Linked DNA regions of Mus musculus. The protein of the gene in region 1 purifies or fractionates together with the protein of each later gene. This does not show direct contact. Links are inferred from orthologs where the notes say so. Each region holds a gene or a part of one and is shown in the gene's direction. Other genes may lie near its edges. The genes, in order: Tnks2 and Rnf146.

Evidence for each region.
Region 2: the proteins of Tnks2 (region 1) and Rnf146 purify together in Homo sapiens (co-immunoprecipitation; 3 studies listed by BioGRID and IntAct, with this or other methods). This does not show direct contact. The link is inferred for Mus musculus from reciprocal best matches to the Homo sapiens genes TNKS2 and RNF146.

The regions. Positions count from the first base shown.
Region 1 is NC_000085.6:36,886,191-36,890,008, forward strand, and holds part of Tnks2 (poly [ADP-ribose] polymerase tankyrase-2), read left to right. Parts: intron 1-875; coding exon 876-981; intron 982-2,518; coding exon 2,519-2,705; intron 2,706-3,701; coding exon 3,702-3,818. UniProt on the Homo sapiens protein: Poly-ADP-ribosyltransferase involved in various processes such as Wnt signaling pathway, telomere length and vesicle trafficking.
Region 2 is NC_000076.6:29,359,378-29,363,326, reverse strand, and holds the start of Rnf146 (E3 ubiquitin-protein ligase RNF146), read left to right. Parts: upstream 1-1,623; intron 1,624-1,657; coding exon of another isoform or gene 1,658-1,931; intron 1,932-1,981; 5' UTR 1,982-2,042; intron 2,043-3,949. Other genes in the region: Gm30698 (verprolin-like), read right to left, coding at 818-1,623, 1,658-1,931. UniProt on the Homo sapiens protein: E3 ubiquitin-protein ligase that specifically binds poly-ADP-ribosylated (PARsylated) proteins and mediates their ubiquitination and subsequent degradation. May regulate many important biological processes, such as cell survival and DNA damage response.

The DNA.
Region 1 (3,818 bases):
GTGTGGTGTGGTTGTTATCTCCTACCATCAGGTTGTTCAGGCAAGGGGGGGGTCACTTAAGTGTGAAATTGAAAGGCTGATTTCAAAATTTCTATGTTCAATATGAAAAGAATCCATTTCAGCACAATATTTAGTGTGTGTGTGTGTGTGTGTGTACTAGAATAGCTTTATTTTTGTTACATTTTAGACATAAAGATTGTTCATACCAGCTATGGTTCTTGATTACATCTGTTATCCATATTTTGAGTCATTTTGTGGGGTTATTTGTTTGAGCCAATACTAAAACCAAAACACTCAGGTGTCCTGTTAGGGACCACTAGGGGGCTGCAGCACTCAGCACTAGAAATGTCCATTTTGACCATAGTGATGCTCCAAATGAGACCCCGCTTTCGTCTTTAAGTTTTCTCCTGACAAAAATGGGGACTGGGGGGGAAAGAGAGTAATAGGAAAGAAAAATGTGTGGTGGGTGGTTATTTCAAATTGTGTTTATGGTGTTTTGAGCTAGCTAGTCAGGAAAGCAGGGTGTTTGCTCTGTCTCATGCCTCATGCTTCTACAAAATTTATCATGGCTGAGGTGTTTCTGTAAAGACTTAGTGGTAACTTATATTTAACTTCCTATTTTAGGTAATTCTAAAATTGAAGTATTTCATGCAACTTTCATGTATTCGTGGCCTCTTTCCAGCCACGAGTATTGTTTCTCTTTGAAAGAAAAATGTGTGTATGAACTCAGACAGACACAAATTGCATGTACACAACCACATATAGGTGGAGGTCTAAGGACAACTTACGGCAGTTGGTTCTGATATTTGTTTGTTTGTCTGTTTGTTTATATTGGTAAGATAAAAGGCAATATTTCACTTTTCTGCTTTTTATAGATTCAGAAGGTTTGTAACAAGAAATTGTGGGAAAGATATACACACCGGAGAAAAGAAGTTTCTGAAGAAAACCACAACCATGCAAACGAAAGGATGTTATTTCATGGTAAGTTTTTCACACTGCCCTCTCTCTAAGAGTGTAGCTGATGTCCTCTTAATAAAGATAACATTTTTTTTTTAAAGATTTATTTATTTATTTATTATATGTAAGTACATTGTAGCTGTCTTCAGACACTCCAGAAGAGGGGGTCAGATCTTGTTACGGATGGTTGTGAGCCACCATGTGGTTGCTGGGATTTGAACTCTGCACCTTCGGAAGAGCAGTCGGGTGCTCTAACCCACTGAGCCATCTCACCAGCCCCAAAGATAACATTTTTGTAACTTGTACATTTGTGTTCATATCCTCGGTTTCTTTTGTGTTAATATACTTTATAATGAACATTTTTAATAAATTAAGATTACCTTTTTGGTGGCGAGTAAAACGGCTCAGTTTAGTAAAGGCCTTGCCACATGAACCTAATGACCTCTGAATTCCGTCCCCAAACTCTATGATGGAAGGAAAGAAGTAAGTTGTGAGATCACCAACTCTCACTTCACACTCCCCACACTGCTTCTCATGTGCCGTGTGGTGCAGTTTTGGCTAAGCCTCTGTTAGCAAGGACAGGAGAAGGGTCACTATTTGCCCTTGGAATCTCTTATAGCAGATAATGAAAGAGAAGAGGCACAAGGAGAAGAATAAGAGCATGGCAGGCTAGGCTGCTTGGGTACTTCTGACTGTCTAGGAAAGTGCACAGAGGTCAAGCACGGTTGAAGACCTGATGTCTCTTAGCCTCACTGGGTGCAGTGAACTGTGAAGCCCTTAGGGGTCGTGGGTTTTATGTATTTGACTCTGAAATGTGGTAACTTTTGCATTAGAATTTCAAATACTCTGTTGTTTTTCTAATTGAGTCTATCCTTTGGCATCTGAACCACCATCCTATTGGAATCGTTAATCAACATAAGGAATTCTTAGCTCTAAAAATAGCAAGCTCTAGGGTCTGTAGGGATGATTTAGAAGGAACAGAAAGAGCAAATATTGCTGCTGGAGAAGACTGCAGTTAAGTTTCCAAAGCCCGCATTGGGTGTTCAAACTGCCTGTGATTCTGGCTCTCAATGCACATACCACATGGACCTACAGAATTATGCATAGCTTTGTTGTTGGTAGTTTTTGTTTTTGTTTTGTTTTGTTTTTTTTTTAATTAAAAAATGGCAACCAGTTGATAATAGCACATGCCTTTAATCCTATCAATGAGAAGGCAGAGACAGGCAGAATCTATGAGTTTGAGGATAGCCAGGGCTACACAGAGAAACCCTGTCTACAGTTTTTTCTGGCAGTGATTCATGTTCAAGCATTTAACATCCATGGGCCCAGAGGTGATTCTGTGAGGTGCAGGCCTATCTGGTATGCATAGTTCCAAGACAGCCAAGGCTATGTAGAGAGTCTGTCTTAAAAACAAAGAATTTAGCATCCTGGGCTGGGTGTGTGGCTCAGTGCTTGACTGATGTGCACAAAGCTCTGTGTTTAATCCTAGTTCCTTAGAAAAGTTAACTTCTTAGACGGTTTAGTTTTTTCTGAATTGTTGTTGCCCATGTTTGTATTTTAGGGTCTCCTTTTGTGAATGCGATTATCCATAAGGGCTTTGATGAAAGGCATGCATACATAGGTGGCATGTTTGGAGCTGGAATTTATTTTGCTGAGAACTCTTCCAAAAGCAATCAATATGTGTATGGAATTGGAGGTGGCACCGGATGTCCAATTCACAAAGACAGATCGTGTTACATTTGTCACAGGTGAGAGATTACTTGGTACTTTCATAATTAGAACTAATTACATATTTGAGACATATGGAGGGCAAGGCATACCTGACAATTTGAGGGATACAGATTAAACTGTCTCTTCACAAGTTACAATAACAGCTAATATTTACCAAAGGATCTGAGTGGGCCAGCATGATTCTGAGCACTTGATTTGTTTAATTCAACTTCCTTTTGAATACTTGGTTCTCCATAGAGAATGCTAAGGAGAGCCAGGAGGATAGTGCACACACAACGGCTGGCTGAGCTGTGCTGTGCTGTGCTGTGCTGTGCTGTGCTGTGCTGTGCTGTGCTGTGCTGTGCTGTGCTGTGCTGTGTGTGCTGTGTGTGCTGTGCTGTGCTGTGCTGTGCTGTGCTGTGCTGTGCTGTGTGTGCTGTGCTGTGCTGTGCTGTGCTGTGCTGTGCTGTGCTGTGCTGACAGAAGAGGTGGGATGTGTAAGAGTTAAAGGGCCCGGCCAACTTGTGTTATTCTTACTACCATTATTTTCCCACTAAGCTTAGGCTTTCTGTATTATGTTAGGAATTCCCTTCTGGGTAGGAATTACTATCATTTCTATTTTGAGCCACAAATCTATACTATTTAGGAGGCTACAATGTTTCAAATTCTGTAAATTGAATACTTAAATTTTACTTGCCTTCTGTGGTTGAGATTATTAGTAATAAGCAGTGTTCTCAGCTGGGCGTGGTGGTGCACGCCTGTAATCCCAGCACTCAGGAGGCAGAGGCAGGTGGATTTCTGAGTTCGAGGCCAGCCTGGTCTAAAAAGTGAGTTTCAGGACAGCAGGGCTATACAGAGCAACCCTGTCTCAAAAAACCAAAAAACAAACAAACAAGCAGTGTTCTCATACTTCCCCTGAGCTGTTATTGGAATACAGTACTAGAAATATGTTGTCTAGAAATATGTTATTAACATAGAGCTTTGCTGTTCTGGGTTTCTGTGTCCAGGGTAAAATTTTCCTTTTTATGTTTTAGGCAGCTGCTGTTTTGTCGAGTAACCTTGGGAAAGTCTTTCTTGCAGTTCAGCGCAATGAAAATGGCACATTCTCCTCCCGGCCATCACTCGGTCACTGGCCGGCCCAGTGTAAATGG
Region 2 (3,949 bases), on another chromosome or scaffold:
CCCCCATAGCCCATAGTTGCCACAGTAACCATTTGCTACAAATTCCTGTATCTTCTGGCCTAACATCTTTGTTACTGTTTGGTATGCACTGTTGAAACCTAGCTAGCCAGTAGCTTCCATCAACATTTTTAATCCCCCCAACCCCTTCCCTCAATGGTACTAGGGATTGAACCCAGATCCTCAAGTAAGGTGAATCAGCCTCCTACCGCTAGATCCCTTTGAAATTAAGAATATTTTAACATCTGAAGCCTATGAAATAGACCCACATGCTTGCTCACATCGACTCACCTATTCAATGTCTTATCCCTTTCAACGTACATTGATGTACAACCTTTTCTCTTCAGGCTATAAAAGTTCATATAATATTTCCTATAACAACTGAATGAATAACCCGAACCCATGCTCTGGATTTACAGCTATTAATGTTAAGCAGATGAGCTCTTCCTTTGGATCAGTGGCCTTGAAACCCTATAAATAGGTGCACAGTACATTTTTCAGTCCTGAATTCAAACAGTGGATGTAACCTCAAAATGCAACATTGTTGCAAGCACAATGCAAACAGTTACAGAATGCGGAAATACTTTCAAAGGTGAAAAGGTTCTCTGGTCCATTTTGTGCAACTTCAAGTAGAGAAAACTGTTCTGAAAAAGATCATGTGCCGGTTAAAATGAACAAGGACTAGATTTTGATGTGTAACACCATATGCTTGCCATAAAACTAACCCATGAAATTTATTCTAGATTCGCGGGACGATTTCTTCTTCTAGCTTCCTATGCTGTTAGGGTTTAAAAGACACCCCAGCACACCCCCTCTCCCATTACATATCTGGCCATTTGTGAGGTGAATAAATTGGAGCATCTCGGGGACCATCCAGTCCACGCCGTGACTTTTCTTGTGCCTTTTTTGTATAAGGAACAAGCGGTAGTCTCTCCAAGGGCACGGCCAAAGGAAACATAGGACTTGACCCAAGGCTGAGTTTTGGAAAGGCTCTTCTTCCTGGTACTGAAGGTCTAGCTTCCTCCCACAAGCCACCTAGATGGACCTCCACCAGTTCAGAACCAGGAGGCCACAAGATGCGCCACGCAGAGGGTGAGGGAGGACCGGAACAGGGACAAGGAGCAGCCCGGTCGCAGCAAGGGACAGAGAAGAGCAGCAGCCAGCGTGGGGACCGCCAGCCAGGGCCGCCGCGCGCGGGATCACGGTGAGGGGGCGTGGCTTCCGCCGGCGCGGCCCCGCCCCTTGAGCGCCGGGCGGTCACGTGACGGCCGCGCGCGTCCCCGTCCGCTGCGGGCTCCGAAGCGGAGGAGAAAAGACTGCGAGGTGGCTGCGGCGGCGGCCGAGAGGTGGGCTCCGGGCCGGACCGGTGAGGAGCGCGGGGGGCCGTGGGCTGCGGGCCTCGGCGGGGCACTGCGGCTTCGTTGGCTGCGAGGCGGCGCTCGGAGTCCGCGGCGGGCGGCGGCGGGTCGGGGGCCGGTAGGACGGGGACGCCCTTGGCCAGCGCGGCCCGGACGGGCGCGCGGAGGGAGGCCGAGCTGGCGCAGCCCGGACTGTGACGGGCGCGGCCCCGGCCATTACTGCGCAGGCAGGCCAGGCTGCGGGCAGCTCCAGCGGGCTCGACCGGGCCTCAGTCGGCCACGGGCTGCATGCTATCTTCCGCCTGCCCTGCCGCCGCCGCCGCCGCCGCGGCTGTGCCTCTGGGTCTTGCCCAGTGCCCGGAGTCGTCCCCTCCTCCTCGCGCTGGCGGAAGCCGCCGAGCGTTCTTGTTTTGATGGCTCCCCAAACCCGAAACCAGCCTGAGGTGTCGGGATACCAGTTGGGCCTCCCAAGCCGGGTGCATCTTGAGAGCTCCGGCAGTCGCTTTGTTCTGCTTGCTGGATGTGGAGTTTTCTCCTTAACCCTCCACCCCATCTGAGAGCGCACGGGATCCCCATTGTTGTCACTGTCTTATTTTCTGGACTTTTTTTTTTTTTTTTTTTTAAAGAGAAAGGGCTATGTGACATTGTTTTTGAGGATGTGGAAATGGAACCGTCCTCTATAATTAGGTAAGATGTTTCCCCACTGTAAGTTAGCACACGCATTCTGACAACTACATTTTATCTGTGTATGTGTGTGTGTGTGTGTGTGTGTTCTTTTGCAAACTAGATGTGCACCTGGAGCTTGGGCATTGAAAGGCACGTATTGTCATAGAAGTTGAATGCGTAGAACATAACAATAAATGATCTGTATCATTAGACTTTTAAAGAACATGGCATATTAAAGAACAAATTAAGAAAACGACCCACACATACTAGCAGAGCGTGAAAAGCGTCTGGGAGCTGTAGAAACACTTGAAAATAGGTGAAGTAAATCTCATTTTAGAGAAAACTCAAGAGTAACTGCTACAGTAAAGATGGAGTTTTGGATATGTTTGCTTGGGTCTTGGATATCATAGAGTTTATTTATGTCTTAATTGGGCGTGTGTAATGGGGAAAGAATGAAAACCCTGTTATTAAACGTTTGAAAGTTTCTGTTTTGTGCTGTTTAAGAACTGAGTCGAATTGTAGTCATGGGGAAATGTCCCAAATAACTGTTCATTAGATAACAGGAATGCAAACATAAATGATTTTTTTTTTTTTGTAGGAGACATGCCATTTAGTAAAAGTGCCACTTTGAAACTGTTGGAGGGTTTGTTTTGTTTTATTTTTTGGATCCAACATGATTCCTTGACTTTGAAGAAGAAAATAATAGGAAGAATTTTTCATATCCATCTGTTTAAAACATATTTTCTGTCAGCCATATATGAGTTTGAAGGACTTATCACATTTCCCTATCAGTATGAGAGATGGAAGATCCGAGTCTTTTCTACCTCCTTGCTTGGTTGCCTTCTTGATCACAGAGTCTGAACTTGGGTAACTGCTGGGTGGATTAGAAACAGTCTTTTTGAGCATACACACTGTTTACACTAGTCTACAGCTTCCTTTGCTTCTTTGTATACTCTCATTTACCTTTCTAGTTAGTTAATACAAAGCCTGTTGTTAAAGGCCTGCTAATTAAAATGTTTGGAGTTGTCCAATTACAGAGGCTGGCTAGAGCAAAGTAACAAAAGCATAGGGATAACTTGGCAAAGGTCACTCACCAGTTAATAAGAGGACTTTCTTATTTATAGAATGTCTGCCAGCCTGAAACATCTGTTAGATGAGAATACATGTATTACATATAAATATAAATTGACATTTGTATCTCATGAGTTAATGAAATCAATACAACGCCCACTTTGCAGAGAAGGAATTTAAAGCCTTACACTTAAGTATAAGGACGGAGACAAAAGTAAATAGAGTCACAGGATGGGGCTTCTTAAGGGCAGTCATACACAAGGCAAGAAGATCCCTCAAAAGTATGGAACCCCACTTAACTGAACTGGGTTTTGACAGAACACTTATTTCCAAGCTTAACTTAGACTTTTAAAACTGATTTGATGATGAAGTATAAAAATTGACACATTGTAACAGTTACATACTTGTGAATTTGGGAATCTTTCTTAAGAAGTTTTAAGATGTGTTTGTTAAATCCCATCTGACCCCTACTCATTTTTCTTGTGTTTATAATAGAGACATATGTAAGTAAACAGATACACATAATAAGGTTTGTAGTCCCCCTATTGATATGTTTTCTATATAGTGTATTCTGTTTGAGTAACTCTTATTTCATTACACCTTAACTTTAAATAGGATAAGCAGAAAATGTCCAACTGTATATAATTTGACATTTATATTTTTATTTCTATTGTGATATGTTCATCTTTTTTCTTTGATTCGCCTTTTTTTTTCCTTAAAGAAACAATATTTTATTCAAGTTTATTATCTAGGGACGGTGGATCTTTAAAAAGTTTGGCTGGCTTAAAATTAATCCTAATTGTTTACATTATCAACCCTAATATTTATATTAGGTATTAATGTAGTCAAGTAATTAT